3 linked regions of the Diceros bicornis minor genome follow. The protein of the gene in region 1 interacts with the protein of each later gene in a pairwise test. Links are inferred from orthologs where the notes say so. Each region holds a gene or a part of one and is shown in the gene's direction. Other genes may lie near its edges.

The links. The genes of interacting proteins can lie anywhere in the genome.
Region 2: the proteins of PIH1D2 (region 1) and IGF2BP3 interact in a two-hybrid assay, tested with the Homo sapiens proteins (2 studies listed by BioGRID and IntAct). The two-hybrid records come from large-scale screens. The link is inferred for Diceros bicornis minor from reciprocal best matches to the Homo sapiens genes PIH1D2 and IGF2BP3.
Region 3: the proteins of PIH1D2 (region 1) and EIF4A2 interact in binary tests that used the Homo sapiens proteins (3 or more experiments, as listed by UniProt). The two-hybrid records come from large-scale screens. The link is inferred for Diceros bicornis minor from reciprocal best matches to the Homo sapiens genes PIH1D2 and EIF4A2.

The regions. Positions count from the first base shown.
Region 1 is NC_080746.1:24,219,101-24,226,380, forward strand, and holds the start of PIH1D2 (PIH1 domain-containing protein 2), read left to right. Parts: upstream 1-4,274; 5' UTR 4,275-4,390; intron 4,391-5,184; exon of another isoform or gene 5,185-5,200; 5' UTR 5,201-5,226; coding exon 5,227-5,403; intron 5,404-6,000; coding exon 6,001-6,124; intron 6,125-6,507; coding exon 6,508-6,753; intron 6,754-7,084; coding exon 7,085-7,280. Other genes in the region: uncharacterized protein NKAPD1, read right to left, coding at 808-908, 2,756-2,824.
Region 2 is NC_080742.1:48,762,392-48,769,553, reverse strand, and holds the start of IGF2BP3 (insulin-like growth factor 2 mRNA-binding protein 3), read left to right. Parts: upstream 1-4,149; 5' UTR 4,150-4,807; coding exon 4,808-4,982; intron 4,983-6,320; coding exon 6,321-6,381; intron 6,382-6,389; exon of another isoform or gene 6,390-7,162. UniProt on the Homo sapiens protein: RNA-binding factor that may recruit target transcripts to cytoplasmic protein-RNA complexes (mRNPs). This transcript 'caging' into mRNPs allows mRNA transport and transient storage.
Region 3 is NC_080754.1:37,266,127-37,274,069, reverse strand, and holds the start of EIF4A2 (eukaryotic initiation factor 4A-II), read left to right. Parts: upstream 1-4,930; 5' UTR 4,931-5,092; coding exon 5,093-5,200; intron 5,201-5,286; coding exon 5,287-5,419; intron 5,420-5,527; exon of another isoform or gene 5,528-5,596; intron 5,597-5,697; coding exon 5,698-5,837; intron 5,838-6,633; coding exon 6,634-6,802; intron 6,803-6,916; coding exon 6,917-7,026; intron 7,027-7,073; exon of another isoform or gene 7,074-7,198; intron 7,199-7,267; coding exon 7,268-7,411; intron 7,412-7,454; exon of another isoform or gene 7,455-7,632; intron 7,633-7,726; coding exon 7,727-7,864; intron 7,865-7,917; exon of another isoform or gene 7,918-7,943. UniProt on the Homo sapiens protein: ATP-dependent RNA helicase which is a subunit of the eIF4F complex involved in cap recognition and is required for mRNA binding to ribosome.

The DNA.
Region 1 (7,280 bases):
TAAATTCTCAAAGGACCATCTTTTCAGAAAACAGACTGAAAAGATATTTATTTTTGTGTTGAGACTCTGCCTTCTTTACCGTGGATACCAAGAATACTTTCTTGTCTGAAACCCTTCACACACAGCCAGTCACACCCCAAAGTCCACATACTCTGCAGGCACACTCACTCTCCTTAAATATCTTAACTATTAACTATTTCCCTGGGTGGCTTTAGAAATCAGCATTATTATTTTATAGTCATTTTTCATACACACAGCTCTAAACTAACAGGCATATGAGGCTCAAGAGATGTCCCCAATACTCAGACGTTCCTATACCTCCACAGGTAAGATAACAAAGCCTGCATAATCCTTCATATTCAGATGCAAATTATTAAGAAGGTAATATGAAAGGCCGTGTGACTTGGCGAAGATAGTAAGTAGATGGGGTAAAAAAAAGGCTGAGAGAGAGAATGAAAGACTAATAGGGGAAGGGAGTGAATGATCAGCTAAGTGACCATAAGATACCAATAGAAAATCTTGAGTTAAAAGCCATCAGGCTAAGTCAGAATTCACAGAATCCTAGATGTTTAGAATTGTTCAAGGCAGAATTTTTAAATTCTCCATTGCAAACAAGTACAAAGAACGAGGCCATATGCATCACAGCCATTACCTTTATGCTTGGGTCTAGATTTATGAAAGAGAGGTGGCTTAAGGACTCACTGAACTGAATTCATCTATCTTAAGCACACTGAAGTGTTTTTAAACAAAAGGTGATGACTCTGACTAAGATGAGAATTATTATGGTTCTCAGAGCTGCAACTTCACCTTGAACTGCTGGGTAACATTTTCCTTTTGGTCCCCTGGTAAGCATCTTCCATCTGCTTCTCCAGTTCTCTTATTTTCCACATATCTGATTCCTCCTGAATCTAGATTTTTTTAAAAGGAAAGAAATAAAAATAATTTAACAAAAATAACACAGAAAAGTAATTGAAAATATGGTCTGCACTAATTATTGGATTACAGACTGGGTTACAATCAGGAACGTGGGAAGCAAATTCTGGTTTCTCTAGAGTGGTTAAACAATCTGACGCAGTAAATCTCAAATATGTAGAATTCTGCAGCAACAGAACTTTTTAACCCCTGCATAGACACACTTACTACCTTATAAATTTTGCAGTTATGCTGCAATTAGCAAATGATAATCCTTATGTTTCTAAAATGCTTTGTGATTTTAATTGTATCACCTCAAGTGAACCTTAAGCAATCTTATGAGGAAAACAAAGCAGGTACCATTATTACATCTTATTGAGAAGAAACAAAAGCTCAGAGATTTTATCAAAGTCAAAAAGCTAGTAAGGACAGGTCTTTAAACTTTCTAGGCTAAGTCTCTTCTCACAACATTATAATTTTTGTTAAAAACAAAATAGAACAAATGAGAACTGCTAGAGAATTTCCTGAAAAGCAAATTACAATTGCCCAAAAACAAGAATACATTTTATTTCTAAGTCTTTCTGTAATGTTTTGTTAAATCTGTGGTAGATTTATCTCTTTTAGCCCCCACTTTCAAATCTACGCTCATTATCCAACCAGGGGTGGTTTAACATGATGACAGAGGCTGCTTAGGTAACAGTTATACCCTCACTCACAATCAAAATATCAGGAGATATGATAGTAATAACACTTATGATCAAACTAGGAGTTGTACAGTTCACCAAAGAAAACCAAACAAGGATTCTGGGCCCTCTTTTCATCATATGTGCTCTCCTAGGTGACTTCATCTATTCTCATGACCTCTATCAATTCCTGTATATCAATAATCCCCAAACCTTTACATCCAGCCTCAACTTTTCTCCTTTCCTCCAAGTCTGAATTTCCAACTCTTTGGACATCCTATAAGCACCTCACCATCAACATATTCAAAAGCAAACTAATTACCTTTCCCATCATACTTGTCCCTTTTCTTTTGTTCCCTATCTCAATTAATAGCATCATCATTCACCCAGTCAATATATATAACACAAGGTGTTTATATTTGATTCTATAATTATCATTATCATCCAATAAGTCACCAAGTTCTTTGGAGTCTATCTCCTAAATTCCTCATCTTCATCCCTAGTATCACTGCTTTCATGTGAACCCCTCATTATCTCTCACCTGGAACATTGTAATTACCTCCTAATTGATCTCTCTACTGTTTCACCCTTCTGATCTAACCCCTACCCAGCTAACAAATCATCTTTCTAAAATACAAATGCAATTATGTCACATCCTGCTTAAAATCATTTGATGGTTTCTTTATTGCCTAGAGGAGAAAGTCTAATCTCCAAGCATCATAATCCAACTGTAATTTAGCACTCGGGCCTCATCTTCTGTCACTATCCCCCACATTCCCTATTTTCTGGATGCACACAATTTCTTGCCATGCCCCAAGTGCTTCATGCTCTTTCTTGTTGCCATCTTAGTACATGGTGTTCTGTCTGGAATGATCTTTTACACCTGGTAAACTTGAACCTGTTCATCAAGAACTAGTCCAAATAGCAGCAGCTCAAATACCACCCATTCTGTGAAGCCTTTCCTAATTCCCCAAGGCAGATTTCATTATTCCTTCCTCAGTGCACTAAAGCACTTTGTATACGTCTCTAAGTACTTATCAAATAGTATTATAATTATCTATTTTATTCATCTTTTGTATCTCCCAACTGTACCAAAATAATGCTTGGCACACTGCATGCCCTCATTAAATGCTGAGGAATAACTAGGTTCTACCTCTCACCTTATTGTGAGCATCTGTGTGCCGGATGACATTCCTCAGGAGGACTTTCCCCAATGGAACCCGGGACATTCTTCAATCTGAAATGAATCAATAAATAACATTTAATAATAAAAATTCCCTTTAACACCTTGTCTTTTATTACAATGCTATAAAGAAGCATAAGGTAAAGGAAAGATCACTGAACTCGAAGTCAGAGATCCTGAGGAACAGTTTTTCCTTCACCATTACAAGGGGAAAAAGCCTGACCACACTAATGTGAGGATGAAAGGAGATAATGTACACTGGAGTTCTTTGAAATTGCACAAAATTAAGTGCTTTCAAAAGCAAGTATCATTTTATTTAATCCTCAAAATAACTCTATATTTTATATGAAGCAAGTATCTTCATTCCTACTTTATGGATGAAATTTCCTTCAAGCCATAACTTGCTCCAGGCCACACAGCCCAAAGCAAACAAGGTCCTGATTAGAAATCAACTCTCGCATCCCAAAATTAGTTTGCGATGAAGCAAATACCTAGATTTGAGAGTGTCAGGGACCACAAATGTCAACAGTAACAAAAACCGACGCCGAAAAACATCGAATGCAGAGATGCCCTCAATTTCTCCACCTAGGGGAATTTTATTTTCTATTTTGACAGGGATATTCACGTGTGCACTAGCAGGGGCTTTGTGCAACCATCCCCCCGCTCACTCACCCCTCGATCCTGAGGAAATCAGGCATCTTGTTAGTGTGAGACGAAGAACCACTCCATTACAAGATCTCCTCCGACCCAGGAAGCCAAGGAGTCAGGGCTCAAAGGCAGCTCTGCAGCTTCACCCGAGTCCTTCGTGAAAACGCAGCCTTCCCACCGGTTATTCTGCCCTCACCCGCGGCCCAGGCCGCGGCGGCCTTTCCCCCAGCCCAGGCCGACAGCAGGTACCTCTCCGGACTGAGGCCTGAGGCTGCGCCGGCGAGGGATCCGGACGGTCGGGGCGGCTGGGGCATGCCCCGCTCACGCTCCTCTGGGACGGACCCAGGGGGTGGGTTTCGCTCCCCAGAAAGGATGGGGACGCTTTGGAAGGGTATGACCGTCCACTGGGTCCCAAGAAGTATCTAAAGTGCCTGAAGGGGGAGTTGAGTCTTCCAACTGGAAGACAGAGAAAATACCCCCATTTTTGTCACCGGGATCCCTGCTCCCCTGGGGCCACAGAGCTCCCGGTAACCTTCCCTCCACACGCCCTCCCCACACAAATGCACACAAACACACCCATACCGTGCGCCGCAGCCTCGCGTGGCGGGGGTGGGGGGAGGAAGCGGTCTGGGAGGAAAGGAAGCAGGCTTCCCTTTCAGGCCGGAAGTCGTGCTCCTGAGAAATTCTTCCCACCAACAGGAGACCCAAAAAGACTCCCACAGGGAGGGTCTCCAGGACGCGCTAGAGGTCGACAGGTGCAGAAGGGAGACGGGCGCCTTCCTGAAAAAGAAGTGGGTCGGGCTCAGCTGAAAAGCAAGCTCAGCATCAGAAGAGGGAGATCCCTCCGGAACTGGATGTAAAAAGACCTTTCTGTCTGCAGCTTCCCGGACCCAATTAGAGGCTGTACCCAGCCTGGTTACCCTGGTAACAGGTGTAGCGGTTTGTCAAGGAACTGAGAGAAGAGGTGAGTCGGGCGACCTCCGGAATGGTTGTCGGTTAGTTAAGTTTCCCATTTAGTCTAATCCTAATATAGTGTTCGAAGAGCCCAGACCTCCTCTTCTTCTCGTTCTGTGGATGCTGTGGGACATCTCTCCAGTGAGGGAGGAGGGTGCGAGGGAGGTTATCTCCAGTCAGAGAGGATATTATTACACGCATATAGTGTTAACCAGGTGTTCAGCCTCTCTATATTAGCTTACTTAATCCTCACAATAACCCTATGAGATAGGTATTATCGTCTTCATTTGGGGGACAACAAACTGAGGCACATATATAAATTATTTCTCAAGGTCACACACCTAGTAAGTGTGGAGCTACGATTGGAATCTAGGCGTTCTGGCTCTCGAGTCCATACTTTTAAATACTAAGCTGTGCTGAGGATTGAGGAAGTCGCATGTGGCCCTCACTCCACACACACCCCTGGCAATTTCAGGACTGGATAGGTACCAGTCAGCCAATGCCCAGGTACTGGAATGAGAAAATCACCAGGAAGTCCAGACTTAAAATGACTACTCTGTCCCCTCAGGGCTTGTGAGGGTCTAGGCAGAGGTAAGGCCTTATTTGAGAGGACAACTTGAGAATTTAGGAAGGGTTACTAGATAATTAGAGAATAAGGAAAAGATAAAGTGGTGCTGAGCCCAGTTTTTTCAGACACAGGTGTTAAGGATAGCTGCTAACTTCACCCAAACAATTCCTGACATATTCCTCCTCCCCTAAAAGAAGAAATGAATCAATAGTTACAAAGACTTTTTTTCCCTTAAGTCAAGTCTTTCCACAGACGTAAGAGGCCTATTCACTGGAATCATGGAGTCATCCTCAAAGGGTCTGCTCAGCCAAGTTACTCAATTCTGGAACCTCCTAGATGATCTGGCTGAAAGTAATCCTGAGAGCTATGAGAAGTTCATTCAACAGCAATTGAAAGAGGGGAAACAACTCTGGGCTGCCCCAGAACCGCAGCTCTGTCTACAAACCAGGATCCTGGTATGTAGAGTTGGTGCCCAGGGATGGGGAATGAATGAAATGATCCTGAAATAACTGGAGAATAGCTTACCCTTAGCTATTGCTACTTTAACACAAGAAAACTTGACGGAAACTGCCACTCTAAGTGGAAACAGTAGTGTGGAAGATTGTTTTGAAGGAGTAAGAAAAGGAAATTCATGTTTGATATATTTTGGAGATCTCAAAATGAGCTATTTTTCTGCTAGAATGAAAACAAAGAGTAATGTGATGATTTAATAGAGAATCATAGAGTTGGAGATTTTTCAAATAAAGAGAATTTATTTAGTGGAGGAAGAAAGGAAGTGGTGAAACAGGGTCAAACGAATTCACCTGGAACAGCTGCTTAGATCAAGTTCCCCTTCCTCCTCCCAGTTCCTCTGGGAGCAGCCACTGGATTCTTGATAAAAAGCCAGCAGCTTTGGGGAAATCAGGTAACAGTATAATTTCTCAAACACAGTTTTAATACATGGAATGACTTACTTGGAGCCTAAAATTCTCACTCTTAAAATTCTGTGACCTTTAAGATATTTAAAAACAAAAACCTAGGTTTTGAGATATGCAAAATTATTTGCTTTCTAGAAACCAAAAGAAAAAATACTTTTTATCAACCTATGTCAGTGGAAAAGGATCCCAGCTCCCCAGTCAACCACTCATCCAGTACCTCTAAGTATTGGAAGACCAGAAGATATATCTGAGACATCAGGTACACAGAATTATGGGAGAGAAAACACATTTAAAAATTTTTATTGGGAATAAGAATGGACCAGATTTTACTTGGTAAAAGGCATTACAAGTAAAATATTTTATTTGGTTATAAAGTAGTTAATGACTAAGTGTACCTTTATGCAAATTGAATACTGTTTAATTTTTCTATTAATATGAGCTGTTTTTAACCCATATAAAATGCCACAAAATGCCCTAATTGGAATTTTGTGTATATAGCACCGTTAGGATTGCCTCTGAAAAATACAAGAATAAAATTTATGCTCTCTAGCTTCATCAGGATTATGGCTTAATATATTACCTGACAATATCCTTAGTGAAACAAGTTGTCTTCATCTCACACCCTCTGAACTACACACACAGATCTTTACACAGTCATCGATGTTGCCTACAATCCTGATGTTCTCCAGGCAGCAGAAAAGGACCAAGTGAAGAAAGATCAATTAATATGGATGGCCATGAAATGCATTGAGGAGCAACTCCAATTCACTCTCTCACACTCTTACCATATTACCAAATTTAGAATAAAAGGAAGCATTGAAAGGATGAAACAAAATCTGATGGGAATCCAAACTGACCCCACAGATTTAAGAGAGAAAATGAGAAAGGGTAAGTTAATGAATGTAAACTGAAAATTAAACTGATTTAAATTTTTCTGCATCCTGTGTATATTTTGCAAACTAGAACTCTCGATTTTAAAAGAAACTTAAGATAGAAAAATATAAAGATTAGATATTAGCATGTCCTTAAAGATTTTTAAATCCTGTATACTTTTAAACCAGATTCTTTGGTTTAAGATTCTTTTGATTTAAGATTCCCAAACTAATTTAGCTGCAGTTTTATCTGCCATCTTGGCTAACACTATTATAGGTCATAGCCTGTTAGTATTTTCTGTTGTTGATTAATTGTGTGATTTCATTTCCCCCCTTTTTTCATCAAGAACTAACCCTTGAACAGATAAGAAGTAGTACTGTGAGCAATCCAGATCACTCTCCTCAACTTTTACTGCCAAAAGACCAAGTTTCGGGCAAAACAGGGTGTCTGATAGAAGAGATTTCTAGTGCAGAGATCCAGGTGGAGATGAAGACACCAGACTATGAATTAAAAATTGTGGTGGATCAAAATGAAAAACCTCT
Region 2 (7,162 bases), on another chromosome or scaffold:
GGAGGGGTCTCTGCCGGCACCACGCGGTCAGCCCAAGGGGCGGGCTCCACTCGCGCACGCAACTACTCCCTACTCTTCCTTAGTTACCTCCCTCTTTCCTCCTTAAGGGTTGGGGCTGGGGGCTCACAGCTAATGGGCAGGAAAAATGAGAGCACGAACAGGAGAAGCCAATCTCACCCCTCAAGAAAACAAAACCAATGAGAGGGAGCAAAGGGTTATTTTCGCGCCACAAAAGATGGAAATCCAGGGGCGGCTCGGGGGGCCAATGAATGGAAACCAGCAAACGGCTCCGGCGGAGGCAGCCGACGATGATAGGCTTCCTCTGTCCACCAATCGGGTGAGAGAAAAAGCCCCCCCCCGCCCCCTCCCCAGCTAGGGGCGGCGTCTCTCTCCACGCCGGTTGCTCAACTTGGTCTCGGCGAGTCGGCCCCGTGGAGCGCGAAACCCCGCCCCGGGGCTGCGTTTGCGCGCCCTGTGCACCCGCCTCGCTGCCCAGCCCCGCCTCCGGCAAAGGCGCAGGGTTCAGCAAGGCTCCCGGGGGTCTTTCTCCGTGGGTACCGAGCATCCCCCAGCACCAGGGAGCCTCTTGCACGCTCGAAACAGGCCGGAAGTTCGGGAGGGTAGCCAAACACTCGCTGCTTGATCCGCCCCCGCGGCCCGCGGGCGGGCGCGCGCAGGGGAAGGACGACCTCAGGTGGAGTTGTGCTGTGAGGGGAACGATAGAGGCTCCCCGCGGCCCCCACGGCTAATTCGTCCACGCAGCTCCGCGCGGAGGGACAGAACCCGAGGCGGAGCCAGAAGGCGCCTGTCCCGCGGCAGGGCCAGGGCAGTCCAGTGGTCGAGGGCCTCCGAGGCTAGGAAGCGGACGACGAAGGATCTTCCCCAGTGTGAACTGCAAGGATCCCGCCCTCTTTTCTCCCGGCAGAGCCAGGGGAAAAAGGAAACAACCCCATCTTCTCATCTCCTGGAGCACTATTTTTGATTTTAAACAAAAATAACTGAAGGCATGTTCCGAAGAGAGTGCAGAACCAGGTTACCACTTATCACGCATCTGCTTTAAACAGATCAGAGTCCAGAAGAGCTGTTCGAAGGAACGAGAGGATGTTAAAAACACCTCCTATGAGGCCCAGGCGACGCGGCGGGCATTGTGTGCCCACCCGCGTTAAGGACTTAGGCTCTCGGCTGGTCTCAGAGGCAGCTGGGAGTTCGGAGGGGTAGCAACAAGAATGCCCTTTCCCCCTGCTCTACCTGCTCAACCTTCGCTCATAACCTGTGGATACAGCAACGGTAACCGACCTTCTAAACAGTTTTTCCTCTTTAATATTACACTGACCCATAAGAAACATTTTTATTGCCCTCAGGTCAGCAGAGAGGGAGGAGGTGCAGCTCTTCAAAGAGTAAAGAGGCTGCAGTTGGAAGGGCTCAGCCGCATCAGAGCACATACAATGGGTGGGATTCCTTCGTGGCGTTAACATTAATTAGGAGCTGCAACTGCTCCAGGACGAACCTGGAGTAGCCCATGTACATGGTTAATTTCTTATGTGAGACTCATTAAAAGACTGGAAGTTGGTTTGACCTTACATTCATTGTTGAAAATCCACCAAAGATATTTTTGTACTTGAAATGCCAGTAAAAAACAATTTACCCATGCTTTTTTTCACTCAGCCATTGAGTATATACTTATTCCTCAAATACTTGGAAGATTCGAAGTGGAGTAGACTGTATCCACCTCCTTTTTTGATATCTGAGCTTATATAACTCGTGTATGTTTTTAAGGTCCTAGATGGAGTATCCAATGTGTTACAATAATACACAGATTAAGTTCACAAGAGTCCCAGGAACATATTTCATCAAAATAGCACACACTTGTTTTAAATTCCAGCTGTTAGATTTGTTTGATAGTGACAGACAAGCAAGGGCTAGTATTTATGAAAAAAAAAAAACAAAACAATTTATCCCATGCTTTAGAAGTAGATATTTCTTTAGATCTCAGTTTTAATAAGAGCAAATAGTCAACAATCCAGAAAGCACCATTCAATTGACTTTGGAAGCAAGCTGAACGTATAAAATTTGTTCTTTTGAAAAATTACTAAAAGTTAAATGATCAGACTAGTTTATAAAATTTAAAGAGGCATTTAGAAAAGCAAATATTACTAAATGAATGAAAAGCATATTTCTCCAAATACCTTTTGATCACATGCAACAGGTACATGGAAAATAAATTCATAATTTTTGACATTTACATTTTGAATACCACAGAAGTCATAAAGGGAGAATACATATCTTTTCTTTTTTAGAACCAAAGTTCTCTTTTAAAAAAACATGAAAAAGGAAAAATAAGTAAGCTCTTTTAAAAAGTTAAACCTAACCATAAACTTAAAATTTTACCACCAAAATGTTCTTTCAAGATAGAGCTCATAATACAATTCTAAACATTATTACACAAGAACACGTTTGTCCCCTCCGTCTCAAAAATTAAAGACATTTCACTAAATCAAATGTGAATGAAAATATTGTGAAAGTGAGTTTACGTTTAAAAAGTTAGATTTGCTTGGCAGGAAAGAAAAACCTGTAAGAAAGAGCAGTTGCATTTAAAATGGATGATCTGACACCTTCCGGTTCCTTAACACAAAATTCTAAAATAAGTTCCTTTTAAAAGAAAAAATGTGTATACTCTTTACATCATGCAATAATTCCCACATATTTAAAACACTAATCTACTATTCATCTTTTAATTGGAAAATATACACTTTAAAATGCCGTGTGAGGGTTTGACAAAGGGAAAAGAACTATATCAATTGTCATAATTACTGAAGATGTTTCAGTGTAAATCTCCATATTTTTCTATTACACATTTTTCTACTAGAGAGCGTACCAAGACATTAAAGATTCTTGTTTATATTTCCATGCTATATAGAATTTCATTCACTTTTTAAAAATAAGCATTTTATATCTTTTCCATGGAATACCTGTTAAATATGCACCATAAGTATCTGGTGCAAATGAAGCCTTTGAGTGGAGTACACAATCATTAAACGACACTTGGAGATTTCCACAAGAACCCCAGCACGGCGTTCATTTCCGTATTCCTCGTCTCCAGTCCAGTCTGTTGGCCCAGAAGGCTCCACTGGGCCCAGACCCTCCCCCCAACACCCACCATTGTCCTCGTTATATACAGTACAGGGGAAATTATGAATGGTTCTCATGGCCAAATGTGGGCAAAAAAGAGGCAGAAAGAGACTCGAACAATATTTCAAGTGCGAAATACCACCTAGGGGTATCGCAGAGCAGTCTTCCTGTTTTAAGAGTCCCAAGTTCTCCAACTAAAATTCTTTAAATAAAAGTACCAGCCTACCCCACTCCTCCTCCTCTGGAAACTACAGGAAGAAATGGTTTCCGTTTAAATACCGACTTTTCCCACTCTGACTTCTCTTCTCCGGCCTCCGAGGCCCGGGACGCCCCCATACCCACGCCAGAAACCTCCGCCCCTGCGCTCCCCTCCCCCACCGGTGGCCAAGCCCGCCCCCGGCCTCATTTATCCCAGAGCCTTGTCTGAAGCGAGCAACCAATGGCAAACGCGAAGCCGAGAGCCACCGCGAGCGCAGGCGGAGGCGGAGGAGGTGTCGCCCAGACACCCGCCCAGGACGCCGCGGGCTCCCATCCCCCACCGCCCGGCTCGGGGCCGCCCCACTTCCCCGGGGCCCGGGCCCGTGAAGGGTGCACAGGGTAGGGCGCCTCTGCCGCTTCTCCCGCCCCCACCCACCGCACCCCACCCCCTCGCTGCGTTTCCGCCCCTGCAAGCCCTGGAAACGTGCTCGCGGCTTTGCCGAGGTTACACTTCTAATGTCATCAAAGCCACAAGGGGAGTTCGGAATTGTGACTCCTTGGTTTTGTTAATTACCTATTTTAAAAAATCGAATACGTATTTAAAAGTCCGGTAACTAGAGCTGAGAAATTGCCTAGTTAGCACCCCTACCCCTATCTCGTTAAAAAAAAAAAAAATCAATATTCCTCCCCTTTTCCTCCCCTCCCCCTCAGGATCCGCCCCGACCAGATAACCCTTTCTAAACTCTGTTGTGACAATCAGCTCCCGGAGCCGCGCTCCCCTCTGCGCCCCGGCTGCGGCTCCTTTAGCATTTTTTTGCCCTCTTCCTCCTTCCCTTCTCAGGGTCCCTCGCCCAATCTCATTTCCCCTCCCCCTCTTCCTCTTCTCGCTGGCTCTTTTTTCCCTCGAAACCCCCTCTAATTGAGGAGCTGGGATTCCTCACGTGAGACGTTGATTTGTAGTTTGAACACGTGGCTTATTCAAAAAGCCGGACACTCGGAGCGGATTTTTTCCGCCTCCTGCGCCTTCCTCCCTCCACCCCTCCTCCCCTCGCTCCTGCCAGTCACCCTTCGGGGTTTTTTATGGGGAGGCGGCGCCTGCCCTCACGTAGTGTGATATTTTCACCGTCCGCTGGCCTATGCCAACGGGGTTGGGGAGGAAGAGACAAAAAGTAGTTGACCCCCCCCTCCTCTCCTCCTTTTTCTCGATAATCCCGCCTCCTCCTCAGAGTTAGGAAGACTCGTTGATGCGTTTGGGTTGTAGCAAGGCTTTTTCTTTTCTTTTTTTTTTATATCTAGAGAAGGAAAAACAAGAACCCTTGGATCTGATTTTTCGCTCCTCGTTCTTGTCCTGGTTCTGACTGTGTTTGGGTATTTTAGCGGCGAGAAGACGAGGGGAACAAAACCCACCGGATCCATCCATCACTGTGGGTGGTTTTAATTTTTCGTTTCTCTCAATTTTTTTAAACAACCGCTCTTCACAATGAACAAACTGTATATTGGAAACCTCAGCGAGAACGCCGTCCCCTCGGACCTAGAAAGTATCTTCAAGGACGCCAAGATCCCGGTGTCGGGACCCTTCCTGGTGAAGACGGGCTACGCGTTCGTGGACTGTCCGGACGAGAGCTGGGCCCTCAAGGCCATCGAGGCGCTTTCAGGTGGGCCCCGGCCTGGCCCCGCGGGGCGCCTGCCCCAGCCCTGCGCCGCCCGGGCCTGCCGGGGTCGGGGGCCGGGAGCCAGGCCCGCGGCTGCCGCCGGGGCGTCCACACAGGGCCCGAGGCCCGGAGAGGGGGCGAGGCCCGGGCGCGCACCGGCGTGGGTCCGGGCGCTTTCCTCAGCGTGGGCTCGACCCGGCCCCCCGCGGCTCCCCTCCCAGCGCGTTTGCGGGCTAAGGGCCGACGCGCTGTCAGAAAGCGCCGGCGCCGGCTCCTCCGCGCTCGCCCCGCGCCCCGCCTGGGCCCGGGCGAATGCTCCAGGCTCCGGCACGCCGGGCCTTGGGGGCCGGGCGCGAACGCCGGCTTCTCCCTCCTCCTCCCTTCCTCTCTCTGCTCGTTACTGATGCCGTGGGGTTTGCTGCCCGCCGCCCGCCCCAGCCCCTGGCAGTGGGAGAACGTGGAGTGGCCTCGACCCCGCTGCGGAGTGAGGCCGCGGGCCGGTGCCTCGCGCAGGCGGCCCCGCGCTTCCTCTCCACCCGGCTGGAAGCGGCGAGTGCGACCTGGGTTCCTCCTTCTACCTCCCCGCGTCGGACGAGCGAGAGGGGCAGGAGGGCGGGGGCGGCCGGCGGTCGCCGGGGAGGGAGCCCAGCTGCGGTGCCGGGCGGCCCGCCGCTCTCCGCGCCCGGGCCACAGGCTGCGGCCTCCGGGGGTGGCGGGGCGCTCTCGGCGAGGGCGGGGGCCGGTGCGTGGCGGAGCGGCGGGCTGGGGCGGGGAAAGCTGCGCTCGGGGGCCCTCCAGGAGCCCCGTGCCTTTCGGGCGTAGTTTGTGCTCAGATGTCTCGGGGCGCTCGCTCTTCCTGCGCCTACCCTGCGGTCCTCGAGCCTTTCCCGCCACTCTGGTCCCGGCCGCCTTGAACCTGGGAGAAGGGCCCGGGCGTCCCCACCTGAAGAAAGGCACCGTAGCCCCTTCCCTAGGGTCTGTCTTATGGGAAGGCCCGGGGAGGTGGGCAGAGGGGCAGCGTACGTCCTGCGGGTGTTGTGGGGTTGGGCGACCCCCAGAGGTGGGCGGGGGAGGCCGGGGCGGGGGTAGAATGTTACCAAGGAGTGGGTCCGCCCATTGATCCCCCTCCCCACCGATCTGTAAGTTGCACACACACAGCCCTGAGGGTGTCTGCTTCCCACCCGTGAGGTGCCGGGCTTCTCTCTCGGCTTCGAGCCGCGTCCGGATGCTGTTCGGGGTCTCTGGAGGCCACTTGTGTCGCTGCTTAGGCTGTGCGGGTCTTTTGGGCCGGGAGAGCCACTAAACTCGGCCAACAGTCTTCCACCTCTTGTGTATTCGCAGGTAAAGTGGAACTGCACGGGAAACTCATAGAAGTTGAGCACTCGGTCCCAAAAAGGCAGAGGTGAGCTTATTTATTATGTTCTCATTGATTCTGTTCTCACTCTTTTGGGAGAAAAGACCCAACACAGCTGAAAACGACGTCTTTTCCTTTTATGCTTATTGGGTTTCTATATGGCTTGGCGTTTCTCGTCTTTTTCTCTTGCACTTAAGTTTATGGCAGGTGTCTGTGTGTGTGTGTTGGTAATACTGCAAAGAAATGGAAGGCTTGTCTGTGGCCCCTGCCACTGGATTGTTGTTATTGGTATGCAAGTCGCTCAAGGAAGCTCTCATAGCTAAATGTTATCCGGCAGAGTAGGTTAAGTTGCTACAACAGGAAATCAAAGTCTCAGAGGGCAGTTTTTGGGAATCTGTAGGAATTTGGAAGCAATGCGTAACCCCCTTCCACTTCTATAAGTACGGGATAGGCGAAAGCAGCTGCAGACACGCGCGGGGGTGGCGTGTCTTTCCTTCTCTGTCCCGAGTTGGCGGCGACGAGTCTGAGAGGCCTGGGAGGCCATCCGCACATCTGAGAGGAGAGGAATTTGCCTTTACCCTGTTAGCTCGATAGCCGGGATTGGAACACGTGAGTGAACGCCTGGGCTTCTCCTGCCCAGAAGCGCCTTTCAGTCACTCCAGAGTTTGTACAGGTTTCTGGTAATGCGCCTTGGTCTCCCGCTCCCCCCAACCCCACCCCACTGCCCCTGAAAATATTTTTGGTTACAAATAACCACCAAGAGATCGTGAACGCTGATTTGTGCCACTTAAGCCAGGGAATTGTACTTTTCGGAGAGCATGTGTAGTGT
Region 3 (7,943 bases), on another chromosome or scaffold:
GAAATAGAATTTCTGATGAGAAAAAGTCTTTTCCAAAGGGGAGGTGATCCTGAACCTCTTAATCTCATGTTCATGTGCCCGATGCCCAGTAAGCCAATCACTGAGACATTGGTGCTTGGAGATGGAGAAGTGTTCATTCAAATTGACAAAAATGAGAAGGTAGGAGTATAGGTTCTCTCAAATCTGCCTTAACAAGAGAAGCAAGCAGGGGGTTTTATGGAGGTAAGGGGTGTGGCAGGAGGAGTTTTAGAGAAGCAAAGGGAATAATCCGTGTTTCTTTCACTCCTGATAAACCCCAGGGCAATGTGACTTCTGGGCATCAATGGCAGCTGGGGCTGGTTCTCAGGTGGTCCTTGAAGGCATTCTCTTTATTCTGTAAAACAAGCTCATAAATCCTTGTGACCCTTGAGTTACCCCTCAGGTTAAACAGGAAAACAGGAAATTGACAAGATTAACTTCTTTTCATAACAAGGTAATCTTATTCAATATTTACAGTAACCCTCAGGTACCCGGCTTCAGGGGTACTGTTCCAGATTAAAAGAAACTAAAGAGACAGGACCACTAAATATGATGTGCGATCCTTGATTGGATCCTAGATTCTTTTTTTAAAAGGCTATAAAAACATTATTGGGTCACCTGAGAAACGTTGAACATAGTTTTGTAGATATTATTGTATCGATAGTACATTTGCAGGGTATAATATTTTTGTGGTTTTAGTAAAGGAGAACATCTTTGTTTTTAGGATGTAGTGCTGATTAGGAGTGGTCACTACTATGTCCGTAACTTTCAGAAAGTTCAGAAAAAGTCACAGATAAATATGAGAGAGAGCAAATGCAGTAAACTGTTAACAATTGGTAAGCGTGACAAACATTTGGTATTCATTACTTTATTCTTGGAACTTCTTTTCAGGTCTAGAATTCTGCAAAATAAAAGCTGGCCCCACCTCAGATGAGATCTACTGAATCTGAATGGGAGGGCTGAGTTCACATGTATCTGCATTTCAAATAGATCTCCCCATTGATTTTTATGCATACCACAGTTTTAGATGTACTGATTTGAAGTACAATAATGTACACTTACTTTACTCTTCACAAGGGTGGAGCTAGAAAAACTTCCATATCTTGGTTCCACAATAGAGTTTAATAACCTTGGATTAATGGATTTAAACCCAGTCCTTATATAGTTCAACAGTCCCTTCCACAGTCCTCCTCAATTTTCTCCATTTACTTCAACGCTATTAACGTCTTTACTTATCTTCATACAAATGGTTTTAAAAGTCATTGTGAAAAATGTGGCTGTGAGTGCCACTTTCCTAATTGCTTTGGAGAACACTGCTTATATTCAAGCAGAATCTAGCCTCTAATTTCCTCTAGCAACCGAATAATAAAGAAGTGAGTAGCACTACAGTCTCTATCCAGCTCAAAGTAATTCTTTTTAAACATTTAAATTATAAATGAAGGGACAGCATATATTATACTGTGTTTTTACTATGGTATTACTACTAATAATTTATTATTATTGACATTATTGACTAAATGACATTAATAAGTAATAAATGAGTTAAAGATCCAAAACACATACCTTCACAAACTTTTGCATATCAATAGCTTATCAAGATACTGCTTTAAATGGGTAGCTATCACTTAATATCAACTCATGGACTTAAAATAATGTAAGAACCTCAAGATGGCACACAATACCCCCTGAATGAGAATACATGGTACTTTCCATAGGAAGATGTCACTAGCAGCATAAAGCATACTCAAGGTTTTGTTATTGTTTTTCCATGTCATACTAACAAATTTGTACTAATTCCTTGATTCTTCTGGCGAACCTTGGCTTACAGTTGCTAGATGGGTTTAGAATTGTCAGCTGAGGCTATTGAAGATCAAAACTAAATATGTGGGGCTGGCCCGGTGGTGTAGTAGTTGAGTTCACATACGCCACTTTGGAGGCCTAGGGTTTGTGGGTTCAGACCCCGGGCACAGACCTATGGACCACTCATCAAGCCATGCTGTGGCAGGCGTCCCGCACATAAGGTAGAGGAAGATGGGTACGGATGTTACCTCAGGGCCAATCTTCCTCAGGAAAAAGAGGAGGATTGGTAACAGATGTCAGCTCAGGGCTAATCTTCCTCATTTAAAGAAAAAAAAAAACTAGACTAGGTGGCTCACATAAGGAAAGAATCTGATTTTTAGCATCATTTGCAGTATAAATTTTAGGCCTCACTTGCTCCAGGTTGGCAAAGAAGCACTTATACTTGACTTTGAGAAGGCTATCTAATTTTAGATGTCAGGTAAGTAGAAAAGTTTATATTAACCATAAGTGTATGCTCTGTGTCTGTCGATATGCAAAACTTTGTTAATATGAATGTTTTGGATCTTTAACTCATTTATTACTTATTAATGGTATTTAGTAAGTGTATGCAACATGGTAAGCACAGCGTTTATTAGAAATACATTGTAGAGTTGCAGGCAATGTGGGTCTGGATTTTGACTGGATTTTAGGCTATGAAGCTTTCTTACCTTGAAACCCCTTCAGCAATTGTGACATAAACCAGAGTTTAGCCCTTGATTATTTCCTCTTAAGAAACTCTGGAAATCCTCACAGCATGTAGCAGTAGTGCTAAACCTAAAGAAAACACTCAACAATTAGGTGTTAATTGTTGATTGATTTCACCCTAAGGACTCAAGTGAGACTAAATGGTTGGTCACTTTTCTGATTTAATATTTTCTCCAGTTTCTCAGATTCCCAGGAGAGTTTTAGTAGGTTTTGGACGAGACAATCAAGATCCCTAACTGCCATTCTCCGAAATGTCTGGTATTACCTCAAATATGGATTTGAACATTACAGGGGGATAAGGAGCAGCATCACTGACAGCCAAGTCCACTCTATCTCTTGGTATTAGTTTTTGTGACAGTTCCTGGCACGATAATAATTTTCAAATAAATAAATGGTATTTTGAAAAAAATATATGTGGTATTTAGAACCAAATATCATATCAAATATAATATACAAATATAGAAAATTAAGTTAGTTTTTCCAGTTATCAGACTTTAGGTTGGTCTTCTGAATTAATAAGATGTTTTTCTGAGTATTTGTGATGATATCTTGCAGCGTGGGTAGTATTGTATTTTAAAGTTTAATGACTAAAAATATTGTTTTGTTTTTATCAATGGGCCTGGGTTAGGGCTACAGTTGAAAACATCTGGGGCTTAAAGAATCATGCAGTTTATTTAAGCAGCAAGGGTTGTATTCTCAATTTCGATAAATCAGCATTCATTATATATAGGCAATTAAAACTCAAAGTGCTTTGAAAAAAAATAAGTAATATAGACCAGAAAAAAAGAGTAATATAGACTAGATGGGTCCCAAAGCGGCAAGGAGCTGTATCTGCCAGAAGCATCCATTTAAAACCTTGTGTTACAAGGAAAATTACTCCTCCTTAGTATTATCCATTTGCAAAAGTTTACAATGATTTTATCAGGCATTCCTTACACCTGTTAAAATTATTAGCATTTTTTAAAAAAGCAAGACCAGAGGCAACATGAGGAGAATAGAGTTGGCCACTCCAGAGATCTTTCCACACGACACTACACATTTTTTCTCGCCCTGCACAATGTCTGGTAAACCAGATTTTCTGGGACGTGCTGGGTGGCCGGCATTTCCCCGAGCAGGAGTTGCACACTTTCAAGACCTTAATGCATGTTAAGCCCGCGGGCTAAAGGCCAGGCGGCTCTTTATCATCACGTTAACCAGCGGCGGGAACAAGCGGAATAACGCGATTCCCCTCCGTGCAGAATGCGGACGTGCCTGCCTCTGCGGCATCCAGCGCCGGTGCGAACAGCGAGACCGGTCCCACTTGCCCGCTGGGAAGTCCGGCCGTCCAGCGCGCCTCAAGCTTCCTTCCGCCTCCCGGTCCCGCTCGGCTCCCCGCGCCGCCTCTGCGTCGGGGACGCGGAAACCCCGTAGGAGCACGGCGGGCGGGGAACGGGGGCTGGGCTTCAGCCCGCTGCAATATTCTTCCGCCGCAATGCAAAGAGTCCCAAACTTCCCGCAGGGTCCTGGGATTTCCAGCGACCCTGTAATATTGCGAAATAACCAAATTTGGATTTTCCCACCGACAGGCTTGGGGTATTTTCTGAGGTAAGGACCTCAGGGTCACAATTTTGTGGCTGACCGAAGGGCGACGAGTCAATTCCTCCGCAGAAAACGGGTTCCGGCCGCGAGCCTATAAAAAACGGGCGGCGAGGTCCTGCTGTCTTTTCAGTCGGGCGCTGAGTGGTTCTCCGGATCATGTCTGGTGGCTCCGCGGATTATAACAGGTATGGCTATTTTTCGGTAGTGTTTTGTGGTGAGGGTCATACGGCTGCAGAGGAGACTGTAGTAGATGGCTTGGAGGCAGGGAACTTTGGGTTCATAGGCGTTTTCTTGGGGTACAATACCCCTGTGTCCTTCGAGAAGCTTCCACGGTGGGTAGGGGCCTGGATTGCGGGGAGACGAAACGAGTCTACGGAAACGGAGTGGTTAAAGGTATCATTTTTCCTCCTGAAGATGCTTTGAAGTCTCTGCAGTTTCCCTGCCCGTGCGGAGCACGACGTTTAGTTAAAGGCGTGGCGCAGCCCGCATTCGGTGCAGTGTAACCGGGGCCGAGGGTTTAAGGGCGGCCAGCAGCGCGAGTTGAGGTCCTAGACTTGAGGCGGGGCGGGGGAAGGTGACAGCGGCGCCTACTCGCCACTGCAGAAGGCGGATGGGGCCGCGCCGCGACGGAGCCCTGGCGGACCGTTGGCATAGCCCTCGCCAGGCCTCGGCCCGCGTCAATCACCCGACTTGCGCAGTGTAGGGGGCGGAGCTCAGCTCGTGGAGCTCTCGCGAGACGGGCCGCCGCCGAGACGGGAGCGCCGGGCGCTCGGGCCTGGGGGGAAGGGCCGGTGTCCGTGGGGCCTTTCTGGCCGTCCCTGGTGCTCAATCTCTGGGCAGGCCCGGTACGTTACGTGCCCTGCACCGCCAGCTTCCTTTGCTCTTTCAGGAAGTGCACACGTGCGGGGGAGGCTAACTTGATGTGACAGGTGCTGAAAGCGCTGTCCCCCTGATGTGCCGTTTAAGTTGGCTTGGGACAGGGATGTGCTCTAACGGAACTATTCTTGTCAGCAGAGAACATGGCGGCCCAGAGGGAATGGACCCCGATGGTGTCATCGAGGTAAGAGATGTGGGTGGATTTTGAAATTCTGTAAAGGTGAGTTGGTTCGTCTCATTCATTAATTTTTTTTTCTTCTAAATTTGCAGAGCAACTGGAATGAGATTGTTGATAACTTTGATGATATGAATTTAAAGGAGTCTCTTCTTCGGGGCATCTATGCTTATGGTTTTGAGAAGCCCTCAGCTATTCAGCAGCGAGCTATTATTCCTTGTATTAAAGGTAAAAGAACTCGGTACTTTTTAAAAAATGAATTCAGTGTCCTACATAGACCTGGACCATAAAAGGGGAGATAACTTCTGGGGGACTAGCACCTGTTTGTATTCCTTTAAGTGAAATGATGGCAATCATCTTTCGGGACTGACCTGAAATGAAGAGAATACTCATTGCTGATCACTTGATTATTTGGGCATAATTCATGTTCCAAATGGAATACATGGTGTGAACTAGAAGTGACGGTTTGATGTGGGATCGGTAAATATGTATCCTACTTTTTTTAGGGTATGATGTGATTGCTCAAGCTCAGTCAGGTACTGGCAAGACAGCCACATTTGCTATTTCCATCCTGCAACAGTTGGAGATTGAGTTCAAGGAGACCCAAGCACTAGTATTGGCCCCCACCAGAGAACTGGCTCAACAGGTATTGATAGTGTAGTTCAAAAAAACTGCTTGCGTGTTGCATAGGTTTCAGGTTTCACAACTGTGAAGAATTTACAACTTAGTATAAATTGGTCCTGTCAGAGTCCTCCTTTTAACTACCCATGCATGCAGGGAGTTTTTATTGAAAGTTCAGCAGGAACTGGGTGTGCAGGTATGTTTTTCAGCGTTGTGTAATGTTGAGAAATGGAAGCTTGCTATCCAGGGTGGACTAGATCTGTTCCCATTTTTGAGTTTGAATGCAGTTGTGCAACATGAAAACTGCAGTGACATGTTATCATTTGACTGTCTCAGTAGTTTGTGATGCATCTGTTGCATGCTGTGTTTTCAAAGCTCACTGCTATATTGGCTTTGAAGTAAACCTTGCTAATAAAATTAGGCGCTTTTTTCCTTTAAGATCAAGGTTATGTAAGTCACAGTACCTTGTGGGAAAAATTGAAAGTATCAACAGCTTGTCCTAGCTGTAATTGCAGAGCTTGTTTGCTATTTGCATCTTCCTACACAATGAAGAGAAAATGTAGGAAATGTTTTTCGTTCTTTAACCTCGGTGGTATCTGGGGCAGCAGGATCCCAAGTTTGACAAGGCACAAGAAAAGACATGTAAAGGGAATTTTATCTTGAGGCAGTTGGATCAGTCTGCATTTTAAGCTTGGAAGTAGTTGAGTGCTGTGCATGCATAAAAGCTGTTTGCAGACTAGATATTTGCCATTATGCTTTGGAAGATTAGTCACAGAGCTTGTAATTCTGTTGGATGATAATTAAGGCTTTTGGCTTTTTAGATCCAAAAGGTAATTCTGGCACTTGGAGACTATATGGGAGCAACTTGTCATGCCTGCATTGGTGGAACCAATGTTCGAAATGAAATGCAAAAACTGCAGGCTGAAGCACCACATATCGTTGTTGGTACACCAGGGAGAGTGTTTGATATGTTAAACAGAAGATACCTTTGTAAGTATTGCTGTCTGTTGAGAGTGTAGTTTGTTTTTACTATTGCTAAAATTAAAAATTTCCAATGTTATTCCTGAGAATCGAGAGATGATAGTATGACTTTGTTTTTAACAGCTCCAAAATGGATCAAAATGTTTGTTTTGGATGAAGCTGATGAAATGTTGAGCCGAGGGTTTAAGGATCAAATTTATGAGATTTTCCAAAAATTAAATACAAGTATTCAGGTGAGCTTTATTTCACTCCCTCCTATAGCGGAGGTCAGGTGTAATTAATGCAGGTACTGTTACAATACAACTGAAGTGTTTTATTGTCGTTCCCCCTGCTTAAAGCAATTGATGCATAACTGTCTCTGTCTAGCACAATTCCATAGTAAGACAGACGCTTGGTCTCAAACATTTTTTGAGTATTGTGAAATTGAATATTATGATAATTACTTGTTTGACAGATAATCATTGTCTTTTTTAGGTTGTGTTGCTTTCTGCCACAATGCCAACTGATGTGTTGGAAGTGACCAAAAAGTTCATGAGAGATCCAATTAGAATTCTGGTGAAAAAGGAAGAATTGACCCTTGAAGGAATCAAACAATTTTATATTAATGTTGAAAGAGAGGTAATTTAATTAACATAAAAATGTTAGCCAGATTTTTTTTTTATCCTTCTTGTATAAGCACTGTGCTAAAATTGCAGAAACTAGGATCACATCTTGGTTTTTGTAATAATGCTAGCAGAGTATACACAAGAAGAAAAGTAACTGCACTGGATTGTAAAGACTGGGGTGGACCTCTTTCTTAATGTCCAGTGTCCTTTGTCTTAAGATTTGGTGCAATATGTCCTTAGATTAACTTAATAGATGAATTTCTAATGAATGTAAGTTGGAAACTAAATTATTTTAGTGACTGCTGAATTTCTATATGAAATCTTGTAGGAATGGAAGTTGGATACACTTTGTGACTTGTATGAGACACTGACGATTACGCAGGCTGTTATTTTTCTCAATACAAGGCGCAAGGTGGACTGGCTCACTGAGAAAATGCATGCCAGGGACTTCACAGTTTCTGCTCTGGTAAGAGGTGTTCTAACTTAGTAATGTTAATAATGCTGTTTGTATTTTCGTTAAAGCAGGATTCAGACTACAATATAGC